Linked DNA regions of Rattus norvegicus. The protein of the gene in region 2 purifies or fractionates together with the protein of the main gene of each other region. This does not show direct contact. Links are inferred from orthologs where the notes say so. Each region holds a gene or a part of one and is shown on either strand. Other genes may lie near its edges. The genes, in order: Dbt, Ppm1k, Bckdhb and Bckdha.

Evidence for each region.
Region 1: the proteins of Ppm1k (region 2) and Dbt purify together in Homo sapiens (affinity purification with mass spectrometry; 4 studies listed by BioGRID and IntAct, counting the BioPlex papers as one, with this or other methods). This does not show direct contact. The link is inferred for Rattus norvegicus from reciprocal best matches to the Homo sapiens genes PPM1K and DBT.
Region 3: the proteins of Ppm1k (region 2) and Bckdhb purify together in Homo sapiens (affinity purification with mass spectrometry; 3 studies listed by BioGRID and IntAct, counting the BioPlex papers as one, with this or other methods). This does not show direct contact. The link is inferred for Rattus norvegicus from reciprocal best matches to the Homo sapiens genes PPM1K and BCKDHB.
Region 4: the proteins of Ppm1k (region 2) and Bckdha purify together in Homo sapiens (affinity purification with mass spectrometry; 4 studies listed by BioGRID and IntAct, counting the BioPlex papers as one, with this or other methods). This does not show direct contact. The link is inferred for Rattus norvegicus from reciprocal best matches to the Homo sapiens genes PPM1K and BCKDHA.

Annotation. Positions count from the first base shown.
Region 1 is NC_086020.1:207,191,846-207,198,754, forward strand, and holds the end of Dbt (lipoamide acyltransferase component of branched-chain alpha-keto acid dehydrogenase complex, mitochondrial), read left to right. Parts: coding exon 1-142; intron 143-262; coding exon 263-334; intron 335-1,830; coding exon 1,831-1,998; 3' UTR 1,999-3,683; downstream 3,684-6,909. UniProt on the Homo sapiens protein: The branched-chain alpha-keto dehydrogenase complex catalyzes the overall conversion of alpha-keto acids to acyl-CoA and CO(2).
Region 2 is NC_086022.1:88,950,813-88,958,536, reverse strand, and holds part of Ppm1k (protein phosphatase Mn(2+)-dependent 1K), read right to left. Parts: intron 7,360-7,724; 5' UTR 7,282-7,359; coding exon 6,842-7,281; intron 5,107-6,841; coding exon 5,006-5,106; intron 2,141-5,005; exon of another isoform or gene 2,041-2,140; coding exon of another isoform or gene 1,998-2,040; intron 1-1,997. UniProt on the Homo sapiens protein: Serine/threonine-protein phosphatase component of macronutrients metabolism.
Region 3 is NC_086026.1:93,768,545-93,776,268, forward strand, and holds part of Bckdhb (2-oxoisovalerate dehydrogenase subunit beta, mitochondrial precursor), read left to right. Parts: intron 1-2,268; coding exon 2,269-2,402; intron 2,403-2,630; coding exon 2,631-2,786; intron 2,787-5,198; coding exon 5,199-5,307; intron 5,308-7,724. UniProt on the Homo sapiens protein: Together with BCKDHA forms the heterotetrameric E1 subunit of the mitochondrial branched-chain alpha-ketoacid dehydrogenase (BCKD) complex.
Region 4 is NC_086019.1:90,268,747-90,276,470, forward strand, and holds part of Bckdha (2-oxoisovalerate dehydrogenase subunit alpha, mitochondrial), read right to left. Parts: intron 6,168-7,724; coding exon 6,059-6,167; intron 1,556-6,058; coding exon 1,394-1,555; intron 1-1,393. UniProt on the Homo sapiens protein: Together with BCKDHB forms the heterotetrameric E1 subunit of the mitochondrial branched-chain alpha-ketoacid dehydrogenase (BCKD) complex.

The DNA.
Region 1 (6,909 bases), on a different chromosome or scaffold from region 2:
CCCCAACGTGAAGAACGTTCAGGTGCGCTCTGTATTTGAGATCGCCATGGAACTGAACCGCCTCCAGAAACTGGGCTCTTTGGGTCAGCTCAGTACCACAGACCTCACGGGAGGGACATTCACTCTTTCCAACATTGGATCAGTAAGTCATGCTCGGCACAGTTAGAAGTGTAACTTTAATTGCCGATCCCATGTTCCAGTAAATTACAACGTGTAATCTATCAGGCATTCCCTGAAAGCTACATTTTCTCATTCTTCTCAGATTGGTGGAACCTATGCCAAGCCAGTGATATTGCCACCTGAAGTAGCCATTGGCGCCCTGGGAGCCATTAAGGTATGTGTAGTGAGGAGCTGCAGGAAGGAGACTTGGATTGAAGGTTATCTCCCACTTTGTGAAGGTTAGCTCAGTACACCCATTCCTCCCTTCTCTTGAACTAGGTCAGAGGTCACCGTGCAGCTCCAGCTGGCACAGATTCTGGGTCCTCCTGCCCCACTATTCACCTGCTGGGACTACAGGTCTATCCTACCATGCCTGGCAAGGGGCTGATTTCTTGGAAGGCACTTCTACTTTGAACGATAATCTAGATGGCTTAAAAAAAAAAGATCTGTGGCCATGTTTTAGGACTCTTGAATAGGAGTATAGGGATAAGACACTGTGTGTGTGTGTGTGTGTGTGTGTGTGTAATGTAGAGGTAATTAAGGAATCAGTTATCCTTCTACCATGTGCCTTCTAAGGTTCAGACTCAGGTAATGAACGTGGCCTGGCAGCAATCACCATTATCTGTTGAGCCATCTTGCCAGGCCTGTCTATTAAATCTAATAAGTTAGAACTTACATTTTGTATATTTCTTATTTATTAATAGCCGAGGGTTTTTGCTGTGTGTGTGTGTGTCTGTGTGTCTGTGTGTGCATGAACGTGTGCCATGCCCTCATGTGCTCAGAGGCTAAAGCGTGTGGGTGTTCCCCTCTGTCACTCTGCACCTGTGACCCATTCCTTTGACCCATGATCTCTTGCTGAACCTAGAGCTTGAGATTTTTGACTGGGTTGGCAGCCAGCAAGCCTGAGCCGCCCTTCTGTCTCCTCCTGCCCCGTGCTGGGGTCACAGGTGTGTGGGGCCACACCCAGGTTACTGCGTAGGTGCTGGGATCTGAAGGCTAATCCTCAGTCTGGCTCAGGAACTGTTCTTAGCTGCTAAGCTGCACCCTTCCCATGGCTCCTATGTGCATTTTGCTTTTTTATCGTTTGCTTCTTGATACCACAGATGGAACTTGTTCATGCCGGGCAAAAACCCTTCAATGCGCTACTCCCAGAGCCCGCGTGTATGCTTCTCGGGATAGCCCAGCCTGGCTTGGGTTTTCGTTTGAAGCTGGAGAGACCCCGCCTTTCCTGACATGTTGTCTGTCACCTGCTGTGGCAGTGGTCACGCCTCCCGCCGTAGTCATCAGACTGCTTTCTATTCCTCTCACACCCCCATCCGGCCCTTGCTGCCTTCTGTAAGGAGTCCAAGAGTTTCCTTGTCTCGGTTCTCTTTTCTGTAAGAGAGTCATAGCGCACGGAGATTAATCACTGTTAACTATTTGAACTCTGGGTGAAATTTAATGTAAATATTATATGTGAGGCGGGAGATCTCTTGAAAACATTAAAGCTTAGGCTATGACCTCCCAAGGCTGGGGCAATAGGAGGCAGCACTTGCAGAAGCCCGGGCGGACGCCCCCTGGTCAGCAGGGAGGGCTGTGTTCTAAACCGAATACCACTGTTGTCAGACCTTCCTTCCACTGTGACTGACGAAAGTTTACCCATGTTTACTTCTTGTTCTCCATTATTTCTAGGCTCTTCCCCGATTTGACCAGAAAGGGGATGTTTACAAAGCCCAGATAATGAATGTGAGCTGGTCAGCAGATCACAGGGTCATTGACGGCGCCACCATGTCACGATTCTCTAACTTGTGGAAATCCTACTTAGAAAACCCAGCGTTCATGCTGCTGGATCTGAAATAACGGCGAACCAGACATCCTTGAACTTTTCGCACTTCCAAAGAGTATGTCAGGCCCGGCTGAGCCAGCACCGACTCTTGTTACAGTTGCATTAGAGGTGGCTTGTGCTGCCTTGGTAGGGCTCTAACGCACAGGATTTATCACTGACGTATTAGGCTTTCTGCTGAAAAGGAGCGGAGGGTAACGGTTCTCCTGGGGTATCACACTGTGTAGGTCACGAGGGGGCTTCCCACTATGGTGCTGAGATCATTGGGTCAGTGAGTTGAAACAAGCAACAAAACAAAATCGACATCACTCAATGTCACTAATAATGTCACTCAATGGTGAATAGCAGTGCAGATGCTGCACTTGCTCTCTTTTTAATTTGTGACTGATTTTTTAATGAAACTTTTAAATTATAATTAATCGGGGAAAGGAATTTATATACAAATATGTTTTCATTTCCCAACAATCAAGGCGACTGCCCTATAAAATAAGTGGAATTATGTTTATTTCTGCAGCTAATGAGACATATACTCTTGCCTTATGTGTAAACTATCATCTATAAATGTCTTATAGCTATAAATTAGGATTTGTTAAAAGGGGAAGTTATAATTTGGTCTTAATTATAGTTTACAACCAAAAAGGCTGTTAAAAGTAAATGTTTAAAATGGATAGACTTCTAGAGCTGTAGAAATGCTTTGGCATCTTGCTGGGAAATACTTGACTTTGCAAACTCACTTTGTGATGTAAAATACCATAAATACAGCATCACTGGCTATTTTTCTCTTACTACTTACCGATTTATTGCCTTTTGATTTCATTGATCTTCAGCTAAACATGAGAAAAGGACTTGGAATCTGTTCTGTTCTCCCGTCCCTCAGTAGGAGCATGAATAAGAAGAGTCAAATGGGAAATTATGGGCACACAATTAGTTTATACAGAAATGCTACTTTAATCCGATAGCGTCAGGATGAATCGAATTCAAGGCTGAGCAAACCTTTATTCCCAGCACTTGAGAAGCAAAGACAAGTGGATCTCTGTGAGTTTGAGGCCAGCCTGCTCTACCGAGTAAGTTCTCAGACAGCCAGAGGTACATAGAGAGACCCTGTATTAAAAAAAAAAAAATCAAATAAAATCAAATTCAGTATTTTGAAATCTAGGTTTGGGGTTTTTTCTTCTAATATTATCTAATTAAATATATCATGACAATATCGCTTATTTAAATGAAAGTTTTGTGGCAGAAGAAAAACGGGTCATTTTAATGCCTACTTGATTTTTTCCCAAAATGGAATTATGTTATAAATTTAGTGAGTACTGTTTGGTTAGAAATTCACATCACGAAACCCATTGTTTTCACATAAAGAAAATTAAGAAAAGAGAACCAATTCAGAACAGGCATTGTGTCCGTAGGCCTGTAATCCCCATACCTGGGAGGGAGGCAAAGGCAAGAAGGACCATGGCAGGAGGCCATTTTAGGTCATGTAGTGAGACTTTGTTGGAAGAAGGAGAAACTATAGATAGCAAGGAGAGTAGCACACTGCTATCTATAATCTAAACATTATTAACATGATATATGTGTCTGTATACATATATAAGTATTCCTTTATAAAAATGAAATAATATATCTACTATTTTACAATTTGATTTTTTAAAATTTATCCTTATGGATGTCTTTATATGCCAATAAACAGTTCCACATTATCATACTCTGTGTGCCTTATAGTAGTTCGCTCTGTGTGTGTGTGTGTGTGTGTGTGTGTGTGTGTATTTACTGTTTGGTTGGGGGGGCATGTATGCCACAGTGAGTCTATGAAGATCCAAGGATAACCCATGGGGGTTGCTTCCCTCCTTCCACCAGCAGCCTCTTCCTGATGAGCCATCTCAGGGGCCCACACAGTCAGTTCCTACTGTGGTGGTTGCGTGTCAGTGTGTCTCCCCAAAAGCCTGTGTTGGTGTCAGCTTTAGCTGCCCTCTGCAGATCTGTCTGCAGTGTCTGGGATTTGAGGATATTAGAGAGCGTGTGGACTTCAGTTGAATGCTGCAGACAGCTTTACCTTCAGTGTGCTTTTATACACAGATAGAACAAAGCAGTGATCCAAGTAAGATTTGAGTTTAAAAAAACATGTGAATAAACACGAGCAAACGCATGCTAAATATTGACAGAGCAGCCTTTTCCAGACCTCTCTCAGGACAGACCGATATGAACACAGTTGCCTGGCACATGCTGTAGATTCTATCTGAGGAAGCACAGAAGCGGCCGAGGTCACGTCCGCTCAGGGCACACTGAGGGCATGGCCTTTGACTAGGTCGGGTGCTAGAGCTGTTTTGACATCCAATGAGAATGAACACGGCTTATAAATTGAGACAAATGTTCGTTGCAGGTGGCACGGAATCGTGTCCAAGAACAATCCAGGGAACAAAATTCACTGGAGGTAAAAGGTTCTCTGCCATTGTTTACTGTCTGTCATTCTCTGACCCCATTGTGACATGTTAGTAACGTAATCCCAGAGGCAAAGCGTTGGCAGGTCAGATGCTTAAGTCATGAGGCACCACCTTTGTGAATGGATTAGCACAGGTTGTAGGACTTGAAGCTGTTTGCTTCCTCTCCTGTGATGCCTTCCACCGAGCTGTGATGCAGCAGAGAGGCCCTCACCAGATGTGGCCACTGGCACTTGAGTTTCCCAGACTTCTTAGACTGTGGAGTAAATCTTTGTTCTTTAAAAGTTACCCAGTCTTGAGGGCTGGAGAGATGGCTGAGTAGTTAAGAGCACTGGCTGCTCTTCCAGAGGTCCTGAGTTCAATTCCCAGCAACCACATGGTGGCTCACAACCATCTATAACGAGATCTGGTGCCCTCTTCTGGTGTGTCTGAAAACAGCTGCAGTGTACTCACATACATAAAATAAATAAAATTAAAAAAAAAAAAAAAGAGTTACCCAGTCTCAACTGCTTTGTTATAGCAACCCCAAACAGATGGCTGTGTTCCTTTTCTACACTTGCTTTTTTAAAGATTTATTTATTCTCACAAGGCCCTGGGTTCGGTCCCCAGCTCCGAAAAAAAAAAGGGGGGGGAAGATTTATTTATTCTATGTATGAGTACACTGTAGCTGTCTTCAGACACACCAGAAGAAGGCATCAGATCTCATTACAGGTGGCTGTGAGCCATCATGTGTTTGCTGGAATTTGAACTCAGGACCTCTGGAAGAACAGTCAGTGCTCCTAACCTCTGAATCATCTCTCCAGCCCTACGCATGCTTTTTGAAAACCTAAGATTAGGTCATTGCATCCTTACTCAACTCTAATCCAACTTGACAAACCATCTGACCCCAAATCAAGATCTACTCTACCCCGGATTAAAAATCCTCCAGTCAAGTTCTTGGCAGATCTTTTTGCATGTGTACTTCTTTTGTGGAATCCTAGTCAGTAAATAAATAAATAAAATAAAAATGGAGAGAGTCCATTGATAAGTGGCTATTAGCCCAAATGCTTGAATTACCCTAGAACACATGAAACTCAAGACGGATGATCAAAATGTGAATGCTTCACTCCTTCTTTAAAAGGAGAACAAGAATACCCTTGGCAGGGAATAAGGAGGCAAAGATTAAAACAGACACAGAAGGAACACCCATTCAGAGCCTGCCCCACATGTGGCCCATACATATACAGCCATCCAATTAGACAAGATGGATGAAGCAAAGAAGTGCAGGCCGACAGGAGCCGGATGTAGATCGCTCCTGAGAGACACAGCCAGAATACAGCAAACACAGAGGCGAATGCCAGCAGCAAACCACTGAACTGAGAACAGGACCCCCGTTGAAGGAATCAGAGAAAGAACTGGAAGAGCTTTAAGGGGCTCGAGACCCCATATGTACAACAATGCCAAGCAACCAGAGCTTCCAGGGACTAAGCCACTACCCAAAGACTATACATGGACTGACCCTGGACTCTGACCTCATAGGTAGCAATGAATAGCCTAATAAGAGCACCAGTGGAAGGGGAAGCCCTTGGTCCTGCTAAGACTGAACCCCCAGTGAAGGTGATTGTTGGGGGTAGGATGGTAATGGGGGGAGGATGGGGAGGGGAACACCCGTATAGAAGGGGAGGGGGGGCTAGGGGGATGTTGGCCTGGAAACCGGGAAAGGGAATAATATTCGAAATGAAAATAAGAAATACTCAAGTTAATAAAAAAAAAATGGAGAGAGTCCAAAGAAAACCACAAAGGCCAGCTGAAGCACGACGTGAGCACACAGCTCTGGTATGGAGGCCTCTATATCAGGCTCACGCAATGCCGTGTGGAATGCTGTAACTCAAAGCACGGGCAACAGCTGTCACTGGTGCTGAGAAGAGAGGGGAGAAAGGGAACGAGAGCAAGTGGACATCAAGAATTTAGGTTCTAAAAGCAACTAAAAAGAAAATAATCAGAAAACAAGTAACAGGTTATACACGGGGGAAGCTGGGCAAAGGTAGGAAGGGGGTTCGCTGGTACTGGGGAGGTTGAGGCGGTCTCCTTCTAATGGTTAGCATGGGTGGCCTCCATCACCCGTCCCTCAAGTGAGTACTGTTACACCAGCTGCAAACTGTTTAACTTGAGGTTTGCTTCAGTACGTTTCCACAATAGGTCTAAAATATGGTACGTCCAGAAAGACCAAGACTATGAGAAGGAATTGCAGGAACGTCATTGCGTGAATGGTATCTGCAGGGCAGCGTGCTCTCTCAACCACTGAGCCGTCACTCCAGCTCCCAAAGGCGTCATTTTAAAAGCACCGACTGTGTCATTCTTACATGTTTTGTGTATATTATACGTGAGCATAAGAGCCAGGCTTGCAGGCTTGCACCCACGGTCCTGGCTGTGTCGGAGGCTGAGGGAAATGAATCCTTTGAGCTCTGGAGCTTCAGACCAACCAGAGCAATGCAGAAAGACCCTCATCTGAAA
Region 2 (7,724 bases):
TTTGCTCTACTGAAACACAGCATGTACAATTGGACTATTTTCCCATTTATCTCTTGATTTTGGAACAGTTAGGTCAAAGCATTGTTATCATGGCAACGTGAAGATATGTCAGTGCATGACATAAATGTTTCAACAAAAACATTAGTGATGCTTATTATTACAAGTGTTTTAGCTTTCAATTTGAAATTAGTCAAAAGACCATACCACAATGGAATCTTAACAGGTCAATCAACTATTTCATTTTCAAATTATTTTAAAAGGCAGAAAAGAGAACATAGGAATTTATTAGATGCTACCAGTCCAGGGGATCCTCTACTCTTGGTGTTAGCTGTCAGCAATGGGCTTTTAAACCGTTTAACATTTTATAAATGCAATTTCAGTTTGGGTTGTAGTTCCCAGCTCTCTTCCCTCTGAATTTAAAGTGTTTGGGGTTTTCTCAACTCACCTTCACAGTTTCAAAATCTGAGGATATATGGGGAAAGTGTTAAGAGGAAGCATTGCTTCTGGCTATATTTTCATTAACTTAGAAGTAAAAATTCTCACTTTCTGCCTCCTAGCAACAAAACTATAAAACTATGACTTCTTTCACTGAGCCTTGACACTCACTGGAGAATTTCTTCTGCAAGTCATCTCAACTAACGGGACAAGGAGGACGCGGGACCCTTCCAGTAGTTCAGACTAGGAACTGTGGACTCCTTCAGCTGAGACAAAATTAAGCAGATCTCTCTTTCCACTGAAGCCCGGCATAGAGCGTCCACAGGCTCCTGGTCTAGTTCTCTGCCACAAATAACACGCACAGAGGCAAACGGGAATTTCACCCGGAAATTACGCTCAGACATAACAAACCTGCAACACAAGGGAGAGCAGAGAAAGAGCTGCAAAATAAGGAAAGGGTTTCTATTGGTGAAGACTACACGAGCAAGTCACATAATATTCCAGGAGCTGCCAAGTCAATGAATTCAAAACTCAGTAGCTTAGAGTTAATAATTATTGATCATTCCAAGAGAGAGAAAAAGGTATGAACATATGCATCTGTAAGAAATGAGACCAGTGGTGACACTGACATGCATCTGCGTGTGTGCAGACGCATGCATGTGTGCATGTGCACGTGTGCATGCGCACGTGCGCACACACACACAAACACACACACACATAATAGCTGGTCTCAAACACAGGAAAATCAGTATTTTAATTGAGGCAGAAAAAATACATTATAGATTTAGTTTGTAGCAATATTAGAACCATCCCCCTAAACAAAATCATTTATATTTGTTAAGTAGTACATAGAGAGTGTATGTGAACTATAGTATATATTAGCTGACTAGGGTTTCAATAGACACAGAGAAGGACAGAGAAGGAAAGCAGCTCCTATGCCAGAAACAGGACATAAGGCATTTGTTCACAGCATATTTGCTCACAGTAAGACAGCAATTTAGCACGGAGAACTTTATCCAGTTGGACAACTTAAATTTGCTGTTCACAGGTAGGCAGTGTGGATCTTGACTGATAATACATATTTATATATTTATGTAATCCTAAGTATTTCTGCTGTTCTTTCTCTCTTTTTCCTCAGTGTTGTAGGTCAATAGAAGAGAAGAAAAGTAATCACAATTTGAACAGCAACAGAAAGAAAAAAATCTAACATCACCCCCCCCAGTGATTATTAAGCTGTGTAAATAATAATCCATATCAGCCAATATTAATATTGCTGAACTATTTATTAGAAATGGGTGTTCTTAACATGTATGATTCATGAACACTAAAATGAAATAAACAACCTGAAGCAGTTCACAACACAGTAAGAACAACTCCTCAAGGCTGTTCACATCTGGTGACCTCCAGCATAAGAGGAGCATTCAAAAATACTGTGCCCAGCTATAGGTACAGTTCAGTGGCAAAGCACTTGCCTAGCAAGCCCATAGTCCTGGGTTCAATCCCAGCACAGAAAGCAAATTTGCCTTTATAGCTCTTGTTATGTTGGGAGTTTAGTTACCTACAAAAAAGAACACAGAATTTGAGGCTCCCACACAGCGTGCCCATCGATAGCGCCCACTCTGAGTCTGAGCAGTTCTCCTCCTCCTGATGTCATCCTGAGGAGCGGTGCTGCTTTCCAAGCACAAGCACAGCACGCGTCAAGTACCTATAGGGTAGATTGCATTATGATCTGAGGTTCCCACCATCCACTTTGTTAAGTGTCTATTTGTAAGAAATAAAGTGATGGTATATTAACTAATTACTTGGCTTCATCAGACATGAAAGATGTGTGACATAAATCAAATTTAAACATCTTGAAGGTGATGCCAAAAAGGTTGGAGACTTAGCTCAGTGGTAGAACACTCGTCTAGACTGTATGCATGAGGTCTGTTAAAAAAGGAATCCGCACTCCTTTACAGGAAGGGCTCAACAGAAGTGAAAGTAAGGCAGATGTAAAGAAATGAGAAAAGACAGGAAGTAGAGAGGGTAACTGTGGTCCTATAAAATGTATGCTAGCTACCCATGACTCTGAAACACTGCTCCCCCAACATAAACACATGTCTGTGCGTGCATGTGCGCGCGCGCGCACACACACACACACACACACACACACACACCAAAAGAGTACTATCTACTTTTAAAATATTGATAGTGCTTCAGTATTTCAGTTAAAATTTTACATTTCTTAAATTTGGATAACTTTGAAACCGTAAGAGATAGAACGAATTCTTTCACTCCAATCCTGAAAGGCTAGCATATAGTTTCCTATCTTCAGTAACTTTAATATGCTTGATAAATAGTTTCCTAATGCCATCTGGAAGATCTGCACAGATAATCTTTAAAATAGTCCCCAAAACTCTGATTTTTAAAAAGCAGAAATATGCACACACACAGTGCACAGCAGAACTGTTAAAACACTTTTTAAACATAGCATTACCATACACTGCCCTATCTTGTTTTCTCTCATACTTTGCAGCAAATGACCATTAAGAAGCAGAGTAAGTCTTAAGACATCTTCATTTAGTTCTGAGATTATCCCAAAGTGTGACAGGGGAACTAAATTAAGCAGTCTAACCTAATTTTACTATTAGAAATAAATGATACTTTAGTTCTTTATTTAGCTGTTTGATCATGTGAGTCAGAGAGTCTCATTAAGATACACATGTTAAATGTTATAAATTCAATGACTAAAGATAAGTGTTTTAAAATTTGACACCAAGGCTAGTATTGATGATTTTAATCACCAACATTGATTAGATCAATTTTTACAAAGCTTGTTTGCCCATATGTAGGGTTAATAAATCTTAGTGTTGGTCACGTGCCAATGTTCTTGATTACTGTATTCTATAATTCATAGGCAGTAAACACCGCTATCTGTACAATAGCTAGGGCATAATACTGACACTACAGCCCACAGTGCAGTGATGATGCAGTCAAATTCACAGCCAACCTAGCAGTGGATAAGAACACAGCATAACCACTGTTGTTAGGAAAATGCTAGTTGTAACAGTATGCACTTTTCTCTGTGAGTTTGAAGCCAGCTGGGATTACACAGTTTTAAGCCAGCCTGGGCTGCTTACTGAACCTTGCCCCAACCTACCCCCTTAAAGTAAAACTGAGAAAGCGTTTCACTTCTTCTTCATGTGTTAGAGCAAAAGTTAAATTTTGAGCATAAACCTCACCCTCTGTTAACTCCTCTTTAAAGAGGCAGAGAGGAACTTTAAGGCGAGTGGTGTCAGAAGAAGAAGACAAAATAGTTTCAAATAATCCACCAAGTGAAAACTTTATCTCTACAATATGGAGAAAGAGTGGATTGGTTATAAGGTGTTCCTGGGGAGTGTGATGGTAAGGTCTCAGCAAACAGGAAGGGGCTGGAGGTGAAGCTCAGTGGTAGAGAGCTCTTGCTATTAAATATGCAAATGAACACGGCCCTAATCTGTGAGTGAAATGGAGAGAATTTCCATCCAACTGAATGGTGTTTCTGTGGCGCACTTTTCTTATTAAAGGTAAAGACAGAACTAGCTACGATCAACATTCCCACACAGCCCCATGCCTTAGGAGGCATACATTGGATGGTGGCTGCAGAAGCTTTGAAAGTTAACATTAATAGAAAGACATTTTTGGTGAGCTAACTGAAAAATCCTGGACATATTTTCCTGAAACTAGAAACATTAATTTTTAAACCTTATACACAGTACACAAACTTTTAAATCCACCTGCCATGTCCTGCCTTGTTTATACCCAACAAAAACAAAGATATAGCTAGTTACCACAGGAACGTTGCAAGCCTGAAAAACAGAAGACAAATATTCTCTTCTGACTATACAAATGGATGCCAATTAGCCACTTTCTATCATACTTAGGACCGATTGCTAACATCTCTTTCTCCCGCAAATTATTTACTTTGTGTGTGCATGAATATGTCTTCACTAAGTGTATGTATGAACGAGCACAGCACATGTGTGAAGGTTGGAAGCCAATATATGGAAATTGTTTCTCTCCTTTCACCTTGTGAACCCTGGGAATAGAATTCAGGTGATGAGGCTTGGTGGTAGATGTCTTTACCCACTGAACCATCTCTCTGATCCCCTATTTCTTACAGTAATGCTGAGTGATTATCAACCTATCGGATGTAATTGTCCTGTAGTAGTTTCATTCGTGGTGAGGTGGTGGTGGATGGGATTCTCTTAGTATGGACATCTTGTCCATAAAATTACAAATCAAATAGATTGAAACATTTAAAAATCTTTTTAAAATTAAAATTCAGTAACAACCATTTTGGAGCTTTCCCTTCTACAAGGGTTTGAACATAAAAGTGAAACATATTATTGTTAATTATTATAATTATTATTTAGTTCAGATTCTAAGCAGCATTTAAAAATGATTCTTTGTAAAAAAAAAAAAAAGAAAAAGAAAAAAATGATTCTTTGTATAAAACTATTTCTACAAAAACTCCTGCCACTAAAGGCCTACATTTTTTGTCTTGACGTGTCAACCCTCAAAGCTCTGAGGAATGCCATGGCTCACTTACCATCAGCAGACAGGTGGGCATAACTTGAAAAGGCTTTATCTATTTCTAGAAAGGCCAAGGTCAGGACAGTTTCCAAGTCTTTCTCCCGAGGAAGCAAATCCCTTTGTGGAGAGGAAAGAAAACCAATCATTTTGAAGTAGGTTTCTCTTTCCACAGTCAATCTTGCATCAGTCAAGTCATACAACAGACCTCACAGCTTTCCTCTCGGGTGCTTTCACTGAAGATCTAAGGATCCAGAAAGATTTATTGATCTTGGAAGGTACTAAGTATGATGAACTGAACTGTGATACTCTTGGACTGAGGATCAGGCCATTATACTCTGGTGCTTGGCTTCATGCATGCATACACACACACACACACACACACACACACACACACACACACACGAAAAGCTCAAGGACATCCTTGTTTGTCACAATCAGGTTTAGCATAGTCTGGGATTATGTGACTCTATCTCAAAACAAATAAACAAGTCTTTCTGAAGACACAGTCAAGCGGTAGGGGCTTTGCCTCACATGCAAAATAAGTAGAGAAAACAACCAACTCCAAAACCCTCCTTATTCATTTTGTATGTTTTCATGCTGTGATGTGTGTGGAGGCTAGCAGACAACTTCTTTCAGGTAGATCTCTTCATCTATTATTATGTGAGTCAAGCCAAGCTTGAATTCAGGCTTGGTGATAGGTATCTTATCCTCTGAGCCATCTCACAACCCCAAAGTCCCTAGTCTTAAAGAATTCTTGGGCTGGAGAGATGGCTCAGTGGTTAAGAGCACTGACTGCTCTTCTAGAGGTCCTGAGTTCAATTCACAGCAGCCACTTGGCTCACAACCATCTGTAACGTAATCTGATGCCTTCTTCTGGTGTATCTGAAGACAGCGACAGTGTACTCACACAAAATAAATAACATGTTAAAAAAAGTTCATGACTGTAACTGCCACACTGTCTCCTTTCTCTAATTCTAACAATATTGTGGTCCTCAATAATATAGTTAAGTATGTTGACTTGAGTGAGAATAGCTCTCCAGGTTCATACATTTGAATGCTTGGTCCCAACTTGGTGGAACTGTTTGGAAAGGATTAAGTGTGGCCTTGATGTGGATGAGGTGTGTCACTAGGTAGGTTGTGAGACTTCAAAAACCCACACCATTCTCCAACACCATGCTTGCCTACCTGTCACCATATTCCCCACTATGGTCATAGACTTTCTTTTGAAACTGTAAGCAAGCCTCCAGTAAACTTTCTTTTATAAGTTGCCTTGGTCACCAGGTCTCTTTATGAAAAATAACTAAGACAATAAGTAAACCTACCTGTGCTGATTAAACTCTTCTTCAGGACTAGGGGGATATCTCTATGTGTAAAGTATTTGCTGTACAAACATGAAGACCTTCATTCAGATCCCTAGCTCCCATAAGAAGACAATGCATGTCTTTACATAGAACCCCAGGGGTGGGCTCATCGTCTAGCCAAAACACTGAGCTACAGGTTCTTTAAGAGACTCTATCTCAAAAGGTAAGGTGGAGAATGATACAAGAAGACACTGATGTTACCCACTGGCCTACACACGCACACACAGACACATGCACACAAGTAAAATTTCCCACAAGTTATCTTTGTACTTTATAATTTACTTGAAATGGATATAAATCTAAGGCTGTAGATTCGGAAATGCATTTCTGGAGATAACCACCAGTTCTAGATGCTATGTTGACTACTACTCACTGACGAAGTGGCCTGTGGTCACTCAAGTAATTTGGTCCATACTGAACGTTTCCAACAAAGGGAGAACATTTCAACAGAAAGCCCAGAGGAACTTCAAAGCCAAGAGGATTATACCTACGTAACACATTTTTCCATGTGTGTGTGACAGAAGTCAGCAGCTGCAGGGCCTCCATGCCCATCATAGACTGCAAAGTATAGCACCTCTTCTGTCAACTGTGCGAACCCAAATCGATCTTCGTTTTCTTTTCGTTTGCCAATGAGGGAGGCACAGCCCACGTTCTCCAGGCTAATTTTGGGAATTGGCTTGCCATACTTGATGCTAGGTGGCAACAGAATTGGCTCATCAATGCGGTTATCCCAGATCCCAAAATTGTCCCAAGTGGCTGGCTGCCCACTTCCGTCCGGATCAAACCGAGAACACCTGGGCTCCGAAATGGAGCAGTAGCAGGCAGGAGTCATCTGTCTGTGGTCCTGCAGGAGGATGGAGCTTAACAACACTCTCTTCTTCACCTGGTTCCTACCACTTCTCACCAAAGTAATGAAGGCCGTTGATAACATAGTGCAACTCCAAAGGCCCCAGTCACAGGGAAAGACAAATAGGGCAATAGTAGAATTCCTTGAAGAAAAAGGATGTACCTAGAGGCGGGGGGAAAGACAGTCACAGTCAGTAATTCAGAATACTGCCAATACATCCCCAGCCACCAGAGACAAAAGCCATAAAAAGACTGACATTACGTGTGTGTGTGTGTGTGTGTGTGTGTGTGTGTGTGTGTGTTAGGTACCCTACATCATCCTCGTCTTAAGAACATTGAATCAAAAATTTACCTACGCTCCTCACAGTGTTTGAATTCGATAAATGTTCGATAATATGCACATACAAACACACGCTTCTCCCATTTAGCCTGCTATCACATTGGGACATGGTTAAAATGAACGTTTTGATTCAGCTAGTCTGAAGTAAGGTCACATTGTACACTCCTAATCAGCTGCGATCATAAGTG
Region 3 (7,724 bases), on a different chromosome or scaffold from region 2:
CCATTAGTTTAGTCTGTCTGCATTCTGGTGGTCTCTGAATGAGAGTGGAGAGTCCCTTGGGGTAAGCCTCATGACTGTGATCATTTGTTCCGTGTCTCTCAAGGTTCAGGTGTTCAGTCAATGCCCACTTTTAGCTTTCCAGTGCCTCTGAACCTGATCACTTCTCGTCTGGAATTTTAAGTAGAGGAGGGTTAGTTTGTAAGAAGCAACTCTGCAGTCTACTTCAGTAGTTCAACAAGTGGAGACACAGAGTTCAGTTACGCAATTCAAACAGTTTTCTCATTTCTAGTTTTTTTTTTTTTCACTTTTGAGCTATGTATTATAGACATGCATTTAGTAAGCCATCTAACAGTCATCTAGCACAAACTTTACCTCTCCTTTTTCTCCTCTCCTCCTTCCTTTTCCTTTCCTTCTGTGGCTGTGATTGAACAGTGTGATAGAAGTAACTTGAGGCAGAAAGGGTTTGCTTTGGCTCACAGCTCAGCGGGACTGTCTGTTGTAGTGGGGAAGACATGACAGTAGGCGGAGAAGGCGCGGTGCCAGGAGTTGGGGTGTGGGCGGAGGAGGAGGGTGACTAGTCAGGTTGCATTGAAACTCAAGTAGAGAGAAACTAGGAAGTGGGGACGGACTTCACAGCCTTAAAGCTTGTCATCAGTAACCTGTTTCCTTCAGAAAGGCTCCACCTCCTAAAGGTTTCACATTCTTGACTAGCTCCGGTGGGAGTGGGGTCGGGTGATGGTGTTTAAACATATGAGCCTATACTTGGATATTTTACAATAAACAACAATAAAATAATCAGCTTGCTTTCTCGGTCCCTCTCCCTCCCCACCCACCCACCCCCTCACCCTCCCTTGGTCCTCCCACCCTTCCCCCTCCCACCTCCCCCTCTTTTCCCCTCGCCTCCCCTCCCCTCCCTTCCACTGAGCTACCACTGAGCTCTACAGGTCCAAATATAGATTTCCTTATTGTTACTAATTCCTAGTATAATCCTACCATGGCCAGAAAACATACTCAGAATGGATCTTATAAATAATTTGTGTTATTGGATATATTTCTTTATTTACATTTCAAATGTTATTCCCTTTCCTGGTTTCCTGTCCATAAGTCCCCTATCCCCTCCCCCTCCCCCATAAGGATGTTCCCCTCCATCCACCCCCCTCCCTGACATTCCCCTGCACTGGGGGTCCAACCTTGGCAGGACCCAGGGCTTCCCCTTCCACTGGTGCTCTTACTAGGCTATTCATTGCTACGTATGCAGTTGGAGCCCAGGGTCAGTCCATGTATAGTCTTTGGGTAGTGGCTTAGTCCCTGGAAGCTCTGGTTGGTTGGCATTGTAAAATAATTTTAATGAGTTTGTAATTTGACCATTTCAGATATATGTGCATAGTGCATTCTACTTACTCTCCCCTCGCCTTTCTCTCGGCTTCCTCCCACCACTTCCCCCAACAAGTCACTTTCCCACGTTCAAGTCTTCTGTTTTGAGGCTTGCTGCATTCGACTTTACTCTCTACACAGTCGCTGAGATAGGTCGATAGCCCAGCCTATGGTTGGCCCATCCCTGTTAGTATTAGTATTCCTGGAGTGAGTGCTGTAGGTGACATACTGCGTGTGTCAGTTAAGTCACATATTTATTGTGTTATATGAATATTTTTAAAGCCCCTTTCTTTTGGGGGTGGTAGTTTTTTCTGTTGTTGCCCAGATAGTATCTCAAAAGATCCCGTGCTGACTTACGCACTCGCCTGTGTTCTAAGTTAGTTACGGCAGTCGTTCCGTTCTGCTGGGCGCTCATTGTCGCATGTCTTCTGAAGTCTTCTGAGGCCCACCCTTTGACAGTAGGAATGTGCCTTACCGTCTCACCCTTTGACCGTACGAATGGTGCCTTACCGTCTCACCCTTTGACAGTAGGAATGTGCCTTACCGACTCTGGCAGTGTCCTCCTCTTGATGTCTGCTGTTGGTCGAGTGATGTCAACGTCCTTCTGTGTAGTTTACGCTTTACACTTTTCCCATCAGATACCTGGGTTTTGCCTTTCAGACAGTCTCAGTGTGGCAGTCTTTCTTTACTTGGTTTGTGTAGGTTTCTTATGTTTAATTATTTAATAAAGTTATGTACTGAAAGCAGCTGTTTTGCTGTTTATTATTTCCTCTACCTGTCCCATTTTTCTTCATCACACTTACTTTCAGACACATATTGCATAGCTTTAATTTGGGGCATTTCTTTCGTTTGGTATTTATACTCCTATTTATTTATTTAATCTTTTTTTTAAAGGAAAAGACAGAGTGTTTAACACCCCGTTGTGTGAACAAGGAATTGTTGGGTTTGGCATTGGAATCGCGGTCACTGGTGCTACAGCTATTGCGGAAATCCAGTTTGCCGACTATATTTTCCCTGCCTTTGATCAGGTAGGTTGCTTGATGCTTTGCTGGGAAGGGTATCTCTTCCGGCCAGCCTCCAGTGTTCAGACTCGGGCCCCTCCCACTCAGCCCTGCCCCTCCTTTAGCAATCGTTGTCTATTTGTGCTCTGCAGTTCGCATTTTATAGTGGGAATGCATTTGAAGACCCAACGTCATGCTTTTGGGGCATGCATTAGGCAGGAAAGAGTCACGGTGGCATGTCCCTTTTCTCTGCAGATTGTCAACGAAGCTGCCAAGTATCGATACCGCTCTGGCGATCTTTTCAACTGTGGGAGCCTCACCATCCGGGCCCCTTGGGGCTGTGTGGGCCATGGGGCTCTTTACCATTCTCAGAGTCCTGAAGCCTTTTTTGCCCATTGCCCAGGAATCAAGGTACCCTTGTTTACTTTCTTTATTTGATCATTATTAGTTGTATCCACCGTTGCTCATGCTGTCAGTATTAACCAACAAGGGGACTTTGGAATTGATATCAACTTAACTATATTTGAGACAGGGAGGTTAGCATTTCTTTTTAAATTAACTTGCTGATGCCCAGTTTTCTAGAATGTTCCTCCTGAAGCAGCACTGGCGTGATGTTGGCATTAATTAACTGCATAGGTGCTGAAGAATATGCCATTCTCCCAGAGTTCTAGTTTCTTCTTTCAAATGGGTTTTCCTTGTTTAGGTGATTTTGAGGTACCTTTAATAAAACTTGTTTTATTACTTCAAATTCGTGTTTGCTTTTAGCGCAGTTTTCAGTTTCTGAACAGCTGGAGAGAAGGCTGTTGTCTAGATATGAATCTTCTGTTCTAGAATAAAGTAGCATTGCTCAGTCCATTTGCAAGAGTCTCCTGTTTGAAACTGGCACTTGTAATAGCTTTTAAGTTTTTTTGGATGTCACAAACATTTTGAGTGTTTTGTCTCTTGATAGTCACCAAACAGCTTTCCAGGGAATCACAGAAACGCACAGATGTTTAGCAGAGAGGCATGCTTGCTTTTGACAACACACAGACCAGTTGTAAAAATGTTTACATCCCCCCCCCCTTTTTTTTCTCTGCTGGATCAGAAGAATAAGGGTTGTCTCAGTGGAATGGAGTCTGTATGCTTTTCTGATACAAGCCAGCAGGGGTAGTTTGGGACAAGAGCCGCTTTGATGCAACACTTGTTTTTGAGTTTGGGCTGGATGTTAATCATATTTAGCGTTTGTACCATATCCTAGAGTTTTAAACAACAGAACTTTTCGTCTTCCGTTGTATTTTCTATTTTTTATTTTTAAACTTGAAATACACACACATCCTCGCATGCACGCACGCATGCACGCACACACTTACTCTAAAAGGGTAATAAAAATAACTCTTATGAAGAAAGCAAGGGCTGGAGATCTGGCTTAGTGGTTAAGAGCAGTAATTGTTCTCGAAGAAGATCGGAGTTGGACCCCAGCACCCACGGGGTGACTTACAACCGTTTGTGTAACTCAAATTCTAGGGTGTCTGATACCTTCTGGCCTCTGTAGACACTGCACATTGTGGTATAAAGACATATATACAAGCACAACACTCATGTACAGAAAATGAAAATAAATTTTATGGCAGGACAGTGGTGGTACACACCTTTAGTCCCAGTGCTTGGGAGGCAGAGGCAGGTGGATCTCCGTGAGTTTGAGACCAGCCTGGCCTACAGGGAGACTTCCAAGTTCTAGGACAGCCAAGGCTACAAAGAGAAACCCTGTTGGGAAAAACAACAACAACAACAACAAAACGAAAACAGAAAGAAAGGAAGAAAGACAGACAGACACACTAACGAATAGAAGCGTGAAGGCATTGTGTTAGATATGGTTAGTAGAGAGATTTATGCTTTTTTATTTTTAAACAAAATTCTTTTAATAAAAATAACACAATTCCTTCAAGGCAGTAAGATTAAAAGTGTGAGGTCAGCCTGGTCTACCTAGTATGGCTTTCTCTGAAGCAGATCAAGGGCTGGGGGTGTCGCTCAGTGGAGAGCACTTGCCTAGTATGTGCAAGCTAAGGACTTCCAGATCCACAAACCAAACCAAACCAAACAAAAACCACAATAATGTGTTTGAAATCCAAAGGTAGTTTGCTTCAAGGAGTCTTCTGTGATCTTCGTAGGAGGTTCATGCTTATTCTAATAATCCTTCCAATCTCAAGTTTGTTCTTATTTATTTTATAATCATGAGAATTTAGATGCGAGTTTATGATTTGATGGCCAAGAGTGTGGTCTCCAGTTTGTATCTGGAGAGAGTAAGGATCTCTGTCCTAGTAGGCTGTGTGACCCTGGGCAGTGCCTTTACCTCTCTGTATGCTCCAGTCTCTATCTCTAAGTGGACCAAGAGTAGTAGCTGCTTCCTGAGGTCCCTGTGAAGGAGAGATGAAATGACCCACACAGAGTGCTTCGACAAGTTATCTCATGCACTCCTCCTGTCAACCGTCCTCCTCCTCATTCCTAGAGATCTTGGAGCCCTTTCCTGTCCACCGGAGATGTGGAATGGCCATGCTTCTCTCTACTCTGAGCAATTCGTAGGACATAGAGTTCAGTGTGTTGCTTTTTCACTTAGGAGTGCAGGTTGCGTTTGCCCGTTAGGACAAAGGGATCGTGGTACTGTACATTGGTGAGCGGTAGCTGCCTGTCAGTTTAGAAATGCTTATCTGAGGGGCAAGGTGTACATTTTATAGTAAATACAAATACCCATTCTCTAGTTGAATTAGTTACACCCGATTGGTTAACTATCAACCTTAGGAGTGGATTTAATGGGATGTGTTTTATTAAAATCGTTTGTTTTTACAGGTGGTTATACCCAGAAGCCCTTTCCAGGCCAAGGGACTTCTGTTGTCATGCATAGAAGATAAAAATCCATGTATATTTTTTGAACCTAAGATACTTTACCGGGCAGCAGGTAAAGATTCCTTGTATTTTCTCTTTGTGATTATCCTTACATTCTTTTACATAGTTATTTTTTTAAAAACCTTTCTCCCCTAACCTTGAATTCCACTTTCCTTATAGATTGAGTTCTGTGATACTTCATTTTGTCCTCAGATGTAAACATTAGGGAAAAACACATCTAGTTAGATTTTGACTGCAGGATGTAAAATGTTAACGAGAATACATGGTCATGCTTAGCTCTGTCTGGTTCTGTGGGTTGGAGGAGAAAGCGAAGGTTCTTGTTGGACTTCATGACATTGAAAGTCTGCTTTAGATAAGTGACCCCAGGCCCTCTAGGCTGGGCTCTGGTGAGGCAGGTACTGTTAACGGTGTGCTATGGTACTGGGCTCCCCTGGGGGTCTGTCTGCACTACACCAAGATGCCTGGTTGCCTTTTCTTTAGCTCACAATCCCAATTCCATAAACACACATCTGTGACTGCTTATTGCTCAGCTGTAATGGAAAATTTAAATATCAAATGATTTATTCTATCTAAAGTGTATCCTCCCACACCCTGAATTCAAGAACATTACTCTGGCAAATCACTTTTGAACATTTAAATCTGAAGCCACATGTTTTTGTTATGATGTAATTTATATACAGGAAAACACACAACTATTGGGTTCGGTTTGATGGGTTTCTGACAGCCACATACATCCACGTAGCCACTGCACAAAACCAGGTGCAGGACATTTCTTCGCTCCTGTAAGCCTTCCCCCCTTCTTTTCTTCCTGCTCGTCTCTTCTCTCAGCTCTAAGCTTTCCGATTGCGATTAGGTTAGCTGCTCCTGTTTATTTTAGATTAGCTGGGCTTTGTGGAAATGGAGTCTCCCGTATATTGTTCGTCTTCTTTTGCCCAATCTAGTGTCACAGAGATTCATCCGTGTTGTCACCTGCGTCTAGGTGTATTGCTGTGTCACAGCCTGTTGTGAGAAGAGTGACTGCTCATTATTATTGCAGTCGTGATAATTCTGCACAGTCGTGCACGGTGTTAGGGCATTACTCAGAGCGAACATGCCTGTCAGTCGTCGGAGTAGTTGTTCGTCATTGTTACCGAGTATTTCCATTATTGTAAGAAAAACTGTTTCTAAATAAGGAAAGGAGGTTACTTCTCTCTTGGCAAACTTCTGGCCTTTAAATATTATAAATATATCACACTTCTACTTCTAGTACCTGACTTCTAGGGGTTAATTAGGAAGTGCATCTCGGTTATAAAGAAAAAAGTACTTAAAAATCTAAGGCATACGGGGGTTGGGGATTTAGCTCAGCGGTAGAGCGCTTGCCTAGAGAATGCAAGGCCCTGGGTTCCATCCCCAGCTCTGGAAAAAAAAAAAAAAAAGAAAAAAGAAAAAAAATCTAAGGCATATATAGTTCTGTGGTATAAGTGTTACCTTAAGTTTGTGTGTGCTCACTATCATTGATGGGAGGCTCACGCACTGGGCTTCTCTTTCACTTTTTCCACTTAGCTTTTGAAAACCGACTTGTACTGCTAGCAGAGAGAGATTTCCCCAAATCTGAAGTAGTATTGCCTCCATAGCTCTTGGATATTATTTTTTTGAATTAAAATTATAGATTTTATTTTTTATAGATGTGTACTTTTTTTTTTCTTTATTAACTTGAGTATTTCTTATTTACATTTCGATTGTTATTCCCTTTTCCGGTTTCCGGGCCAACACCCCCTAACCCCTCCCCCTCCCCTTCTATGTGAGTGTTTCCCTCCCCATCCTCCCCCCATTACCGCCCTCCCCGCAACAATCACATTCACTGGGGGTTCAGTCTTGGCAGGACCAAGGGCTTCACCTTCCACTGGTGCTCTTACTAGACTATTCATTGCTACCTATGAGGTTGGAGCCCAGGGTCAGTCCATGCATAGTCTTTAGGTAGTGGCTTAGTTCCTGGAAGCTCTGGTTGGTTGGCATTGTTGTTCATATAGGGTCTCGAGCCCCTTTAAGCTCTTCCAGTCCTTTCTCTGATTTCTTGGATAGTATTTTAAGGATTTCTTTAGGAACTTAAAATGTCAGTCCCCTAAAAAAAAAATTACCCGTTATCCTTCAATGTATATTGCATGTGTGTGTGTTTGTGTATAATCAGAATATATACTTTCAGTCTATGTGTGAGTGTCTACACTGTATCATCTCCGTCTGTGTCTGTGTATCTTTGGAAGCATGTGTTTCCTGACAGTGAAGCTGTCATTTATTTGATTACATTGGTTTACTTTGTATGTCTGTTCTCTTATGCGGTGTTCACAGAGATCTCTGTCTTAGCCCTGTAAGAGAGCTTGTGTTGTATCTAACACAAGTGGAACCGCAGTGAACAGGACATAATTTTATTACTGCAGAGAGCGCCTAGATAAAGTGTTGAGAATTGAGGAGAATCAGAGGTTTTCAGTGAAC
Region 4 (7,724 bases), on a different chromosome or scaffold from region 2:
ACATGCATGTACGCCCTCAGGCTTAGAAAGTTGTCTCTAGGTTCCCAGGGTGCATGGCCCCTGACTCCAGTCAGGCTTACATTTATACCATCTTCAAAGGACAGCCAGAACTGGACCTTCCACACCAGGGCCAGGCCACCAGCACCTCATATCCTAGTTACTGAGTAGCCCACTGACCCTTAATCTGTCATCCAAGGGATAGCCAGGGAACTCTTTTTTTTTTTTTTTTTTTTTTGTTCTTTTTTTTCCGGAGCTGGGGACCGAACCCAGGGCCTTGCGCTTCCTAGGCAAGCGCTCTACCACTGAGCTAAATCCCCAACTCCTACCAGGGAACTCTTACAGTGTGAGTCTGGCAGACTCTTCCTAACTCTGGGCTCTCAGGCCACTGTGGACCAAAGTCCCTGCAGTAGGAAAGGCCACTAGGCCTCGCCTGCCCAGCACCCCTCCCCCCCGACTGGTCCACACTACTTCCTTTAGTCACCTGTGATGCCTCTGCCTCTGCCTCTGCCCCCAGGACATGGCTCTGTGCTGCCTTTCCTATCGCCTGTACAAAGCACTCCAGGTACTGTCTCTTCCCCATTGCTCTCACCCAAGCCAATGTCAGTATCAACAGGGCTGACATGTGTCTCTCTTTTTTGGAAAGCCTAGGGTGACTGTAGGCATATAGTGGCCACTGCATACATCTGCCGAATAAAGGACTCTGGTGTACCACAACAAACAGAGCTCTGCTTCCCACCATTCTCCCAGGAAGTCTGCACACACACAAGCCACACACCGGGATTGGCTCAACAGCCAGGCTATACTGAGACACATGCCTTCCATCAGATTCTGGGCCCAGGAGGACACAAGAGAGCCACTCCTGGTCTGTGTGCTGTGTGGGCACAGGCCCAGCATCCTGGCAGTCTCTGTGGTATGCAGGAGCCTCAGAGCAGCCCAGCTCTGGGGAGTGTACTTGGCTCTGAAGACCAAGGCTAGCCAGGGCAGGGTAGAATGTGGTCTCTGCAGTCACAGGTACCCATGAGTGACTTCCTGCCCTCCTCCCTGGTAGGTCACTTCCTGCTTCAGCTTCAACTTCCCGTTCTTGGTAACAGGGATAATGATACATGCCAGGCTCACCCACAACCACCACCAGTGTTCTTAGACAGTTTTGAGTGTGGCAAGGACACAATGCCTGACCATGCTGGCTTGGGCAGGAGCAGTCTGGGAAGGTCAGTATGGTCATGATGACCCAAGGCTGGTTGATGGGGTGGGATACCACGGAGCCGTCTCTGAGAGGCCCTGTGTATAGGCCAGGCTCTAACGGCACTACTCAACTAGCAGGCTGGAAGCCCAGGCCCACAGAGAGCTATGCCACAGGTATGGCATGCATGAGGTTCAGAGTACATGTCCTCACCCTGAGGGATCTGCGTAGCCAGTGGAGAGGAAATGGTGACGAAGTGACGCTCCTTGCAGCCGTAGTGAACGGGCATCTGGCGTCCCTTGCCTGGGTCACTCACGTTGCCGTAGCACTGGGCCATGAACAGCTCCAGCGGGTAGTCCCGGTACATGAGCACACCTGGCAGGAGGAGGTGACTGTGAGTCCGAGAAGCAGTGCAGTGGGGAGGAGCGCCAGGCCAACCCTGTGCACAACCTAGAACCAGTCCCTTCCTCCCCGAGCTTCCACCTCGAAGGCAGTAGCCAGGTCAGGGTGGTAGGGCAGGCCTTTGAGCCCAGCACTCTGGAGGCTAAGGCAGCAGGATTGCAAGCTGAAGCCAGGGCTATGTAACAAGATGATGCCTTGGATTAAAAGAAAGCTAAGAGTCAGACGGTAGAAGGTAGGCAGACTCAGGGGGTTACAAGGACAGGCAGGTCCACAGATAGACCGATCTCAGGAGAGACTTGTTTGGCCCAGATAACCCTTGGTAACTCAGCAAGGGTGAATGGTTTATATGTTAGCCATCATCCCACACTAGTCTTTAAGAGGTGTAACTGAACTTTGAACTTTGCGTATGACAGGGCTGCCCTGCACAGAAAATGGCAGGTGAGGTCTTCTTTGTAAAAATCTTGTTTTCAGCCTTCAAGGTCCATGGTCAGTGAGAGAAGATCCATCAAACTGTCACTCGATATGTGGCTTTTCAGATTTCATCCACGACCATGAGATGCTTAGGTCATGCCCATGTCCCCACCCTCACCCTGATCCCCACCTCCAACTCTTTTGAGAACATCCTCCATTTTCCTTCAGCCTTCATGTTGTTTTCTTTTTCTCTTTTTTCTTCATAACTCACGGGCCAGGCATGGTGGCTCAAGCCTTTAATCCCAGCACTTGAATCAGAGACAGGCAGATCTCAGAGAGTTTAAGGCTAGCCTGGTCGCAACGCGCAGTGAGCCGCTGTCTAAGTCCATATGTGCCTGCCCCTGTGCTCACAGATACAGGGAGCCATCCAGTGGCCCATGGGCCACAACGCTGAGGGGACGTGGCTCTCCTTCCTTTGAGGGTGTCAGCATCCCCCTTTCCCTTCCTTTTCATAGTGCTAGACATGGAACCCAGAACCTCAGACAGGCATGCCAGCAAATATTCTACCACTGATAGAGCCCCAGCCCAAGGCTTTTGTCCCAATGAGAAATTGTGAGTTTTGTGTCTTGAACTAATCCACCTCCATCTACTCATAGAAATAAAACCTTTTCTTCAAATAAAAGTCCTGAGGGAGGCCTCTAGAACATGCCAGAGAGCTGTGCCAGAGGGGAGGAGGCCCCAGGGAGTGTAGGAGGGTGACTCTAGCTGAATCTCCTAGTAGTAGGAGATATGGACCCTGAAGTGGATTCACAGTGGAGTGGTAAGGTCACAAACCCACTCACAAAACCTGACCCAAAATGTGTCATGCCCACAAGATATGCAGGGACAAAGATGGAGAGGAGGTGGGGGGGAGGCGGGGGGGGGCAGGGGGGGCATGGCCAAGAAATGCCTGGCCCAAATTGAGATGCATCCCTTAGGCAAGAACTAATCCCTGATACTAGCAAAGGTGCTCTGCTGTGTTTGCAGACAGAAGCATAGCATGGTTGTCCTCCGAGAGGCTCTACCCTGACTGAGACAGATGAAGACACCCAGAGCCAAACACTGGATGGAGCTCAGAGAGTCCTGTGGAAGAGTCAGAGGAAAGACTGAGGGATCCAAAGGGGACAGGGACTCCATAGGAAAACCAACAGAGACAACTAACCTGCACACATGTTGCATATATGCAGCTTGGTCTTCATGCAGCCCCCAACAACTAGCATCAGGGCTGACATGAGTCTGCTGCCTGTCTGTGGATCCTGTTCACTAACTGGGCTGCCTTGTCTGGCCTCAGTGAGAGAGGATGTGCCTAGTCCTGCAGTGACCTGATGTGCCAAGGTGGGGTGATACTCTGGGGCGATGATCTCCCTCTTCTCAGAGATGAAGGGGAGGGGAGGATGATACTGGGATATAGTTAGTTAGTTAATTAATTGGAGAAAAGGCTCTGCCGGATGATGTCAGATCGACATCGAAAGGTGACTTAAGCCAGAGCACTGGAGGGTCTGTGATTGCTTCAGGACACGCTGGGGCTCTCTCAGCATCACTGAAAGGGGACACAGTGCACAGCCCTGGGCAAACGCTGTGGGTCATGATGTCCTATAGTCCAGCAGAGCCTGAACTCACCCAGAAGCATCTTCATGGCCCCCGTGGTCTCCCAGAGCATGAGCTCACTCTGAAGCAGCTGTCTGTCTGTTCCCAAGCCTCTACTGCAGAGTTGTTCTTCATATGAGAAGTTAATGAGACTTGGGAGGCAGGCAGGTGAATTCAATGACAGCTTGGTCTACAAAGCTAGTTCCAGACCAGCCCTGGCTACATAGTGAGACCTTGTCTCAAAACAGTAACAACAAAAAACAAGGCAATAGGGTCACATGATAAGCAGCTTGTTTGTCTCTTAAGACAGGTCCCACTTGGTGCCCTGGCTGTCCTGGAGCTCACTATGTAGATCAGGCTGACTTCAAAGAGATCTGCTGCCTCTACCTCTCAGCTGCTGGGATTAAAGGTATGCACCACCATACCCAGTGGGCCTGGACCTTCTACATACGTAGGCCAGGCTGGCCTTGAAATTGTGGCAACTCTCCTGCCTCTGCTTCCATACATGCCACCACGCCTTGGCCTTCATAGTCATCTGCCAGATGACTTTGGATGGGCACAATAAATTCAAAAAGGCCTTGCTACACTGCATAGGCAACGATGGAGCAGGGGCTCTGGCAGAGGACGGGGAGCTCCTGCTTTGAGACTTCCCAGAAACTCACAAGGCCCAGGCGCTGGGGCTTGTACACGACAGTCACCAGGAAGGGACAGGAAGAAGGTGCTCACACACACAGTCCCAGGCTGGGGTGGGATCTGTGGTAAGTGCTTGCCTCATATGTGGTCCTAGGTTCCATCTCCACCACCGCCAAACATAAACAAATCCGACAGCCTTGGCTGCGCACGGCACCCAGGCAGATCTAACCTGCACCAGGAAGCGGCAGGTCCCATGGGAATCGCTTTGCTTCAGCACCTGCTGCTGCTTCACAGTCCTGAACAAACACCACACCCTGTCACCACCCCAGTTGGAAATGGCCAATATGGTCATGGGAGGGCAGCCAGAGTGACAGAGAGGGCAGTGACTGGGGCAGACTTTAGTGAAGAGTATTCACTAGCCCTGCTCCTTGGGAGGCAGATAGATGGCCTGGATCCCAGAACCTCATTCTCCCTGATGATTGCTTGGCTTTCACAACTAACAAGGACAACTGCCTCACTGGCTGCGACAAGGACCTCCACAAGCCACCCAAACCAGCTCCAAAGTGCCCACACTCTGCAGCAGGGGACTGGACAAGGAGCTCTGACGCAGTCAGAGACCAGGCAGACCGGTCGCCTGCCGCTATGAAGACCTCTCATCTCCTCACGGCACAGTGCCTTGTTCTTTGGGTTTGCTGTTTTTAAGGACAGATTCTTGCTATGTAGCCCAGGCTGGCCTCAAACTTGCAGTCTTCCTGCCTCAGCTCCCTGAGAACTGGGTTTACAAGCACATGCTATTGTGCCAGTCTTTTCCACCTCCCAACGTGAAGTAGGGTGGCCTCAGTCCTCTTCCTGTACTGTCGCCTCCATACAGACAAGAGCTTATGGGTCCCCAGTGCTTTGGAAACCTGGCTTTCCTTGCTGATGCCTCAACTGTCGCAGACTTATGTCCCGGCCCAGTACAAGAGGAGTCAGGAGCCGGTCTGGCTGTGGACTGGATGCCTAGCTCATCCAAGGAGGTCTCTGTAGTCACCTTGGCCAGCCCCACTTCTGAAAAGTGGTCCCTGGCTCCAATGACGAGGGCCTCTAACTCCAAGCCTTGTGCTAGCTTTATGCCAACTGCCTGTGACTTTTCAGCAGCCAGCTGGTGCTACCACCTCCTTATAGAGGACAGCATGACCAAGTAACTTGCCTAAGATGTGGCAGGCCAACAAGGCTCAGGATCTGCCTGGCTGGTACTGCCAGGGGCACCTTCCTCTCCAGACCCCAAAAAACACATCTCCCGGCTCAGCAGGCCTCTCCCCCAGCCCTCACTGATAGTCAGGAGCTATGCTGCCAGGTCACGTCCCTAGCTCTCCAAGATTCTTGCCTTATTTTCTGCTCCCTGCTTTCCTCCGTACCCCTCTCCCTTGCCAAGAAGCTCAGGAGCTTCCCGCAGCTTCTGCTTCCTGGGGAACATGCACCTCAGAAGAGTGCAGAATGCCCTGCCCTGGGTAAACAGGTGTCCACGGAGCATGCCATGCCCTCAGCCAGGCCTGATTCCCAAGGGTCCTTCCAGCAGCTCAATTCAGTTCAGGTTCAATTCAGGTGCCTCCTTATTGCCACCTTGGAGATGGGAAGGTGGTGGTAGTTCAGAGAGGGCTGTGAGCCAACCTTCTTTGCAAGAGGTACCATCCCACACTTTGTAGAGAGATCTGCCTTGTCACAGCCTCAACGCTTTCAATGCTGCTTCTTGGGCTCCCAAGGCCTTCACAGTACCATGCTGTGGAGCTCAATGGAGACCCCAGAGCAAACTACCAACAGACATACCTGCCTCCCGGTACTGGCCAAACACCAGGTCCGTTCGCTCCAGGGCAGCGGCACTCCCCACATGTGTCCCCTCCTCGCCATAGTTGGTCATGTAGAAGGAGATCCGGCCCTAGGGGGTAGAGGGCCAGAAGCCCAGGCTTGGTTAAGGCTGTCCTTCACAGAGAACCCTGCCTTACTTTTTTGTTTGTTTTACTCTTAGAGACAGGGTCTCTCTATAGCCCTAGATACCCTGACTCACAAAGTACACCCAGCTGGCCTCCAACTCACAGAGATCTGCCTGCCTCTGCTTCCTGGGTGCTAGAGTTAGAGGGGCATGCTGTCGCACCCAGCTACCCAGCCCTTGCCAGTCTTGTAATGATCAGTCACCACTGTGGCCATCACTGTGCTGGGCTGGGTTCGAGGAGCTCCTGCTGGACAGTGAGAGACGAGTGTCAAGACCTTAAAGTAAGCCCAGGCAGTCAGGTGTGGAGATAACCTGCTGCACTGGGCAAAGGCAGGGTGGGTGGGTGGAAGGCCTAGACAGAAGAACAAGGAAAGACACGAGGCCAGAGGGCCACGAGGTCAATCAAGTGAGGTGAGGGGAGAGAGGTGCATCGCACTGTGCTCCAGATCTCTCTGCAGAGGTTCTGCAGCCATGCCTGGGTCTTGGAATCACCTCAGGTGGCTCTGCGGGGAAGGGATGGCAAACAGGAAAGACTATAGTGCCAAGAGAGAGGGTGCCCTGGTCTGGGAGCCAGGGACACAGAAAGAAGGACAGATGAATGAGTCCTCAAAAGCTGAATTACTAGCTCAGAGAGTGACCATCCGTGCCCACTTGGCCTCTCTATCCCTGGGCCGGGAAAATCATTGGGCTTCCCAGTCCCCCTTGCCAGCCAGAGGTGATTGGTCAGGGACAGTTTTAGTCGCAGGCTTTAATAGAATTTGCTATTCTGCATAAGGGAGATGCTTGCTGGCACCACCCCCATGTCCTTCCTGCCTCACTCAAGAGCCAGGATGCCTGGACCTGTAGAAGCCATCCTGTGAGCATGAGGCAACAGGCACAGAGCAAGGGCCAATCTGCCATAGAGGACGAGGCAGAGGGACAGGGTGGGTGCCCAACAGTGCTGTAGCTGCCCACCAACTCCTAAGGGAACATCAGGAAACAGAGAGAAGGCAGGCAGGGGGATGGCAGACAGCAGGTGAGACTTGGGGGCCAGGGTAGGTGAGAAGGGCACTGGAAGAAACGGTTAGAGGAGGAGGGCACGCAGGTCAAGTCTGGACAGGCTGTCTAGCATGGGGTATGAGCCGAGATGAGGCCAACTGGTCTAGGCCGCCAGGATGGAGGTGTGGCTGGAGAGCTGGGGAAGCCCTGGTGTGTGAGGAGATCCAGATCACCCAAGATCATACGAAAGAGCTCTCCCCAAGCTGCCCCTCAGGACTGCCCACCTCTGTGGAGCTCCTGCTCCTGGAACCCTCTTCCCAGCAGCATGGGAAAGTGATGAGAACGGGCTTTCTGTAAGTAGGGAGCCAATTAAAACTTAATTGACTTTCTGGTGCCAAGTGGGTGGGCGGGTACTGGGTATGGAGGGAGGGCCTCATGGCTGTCAAGTTCAGTCAGTGTGTGGGTGAGCCTGAGATGCACCCCAACCTTGGGGTCTGTCCTCCAAGTCCTCCCTGCCTCCTGTTA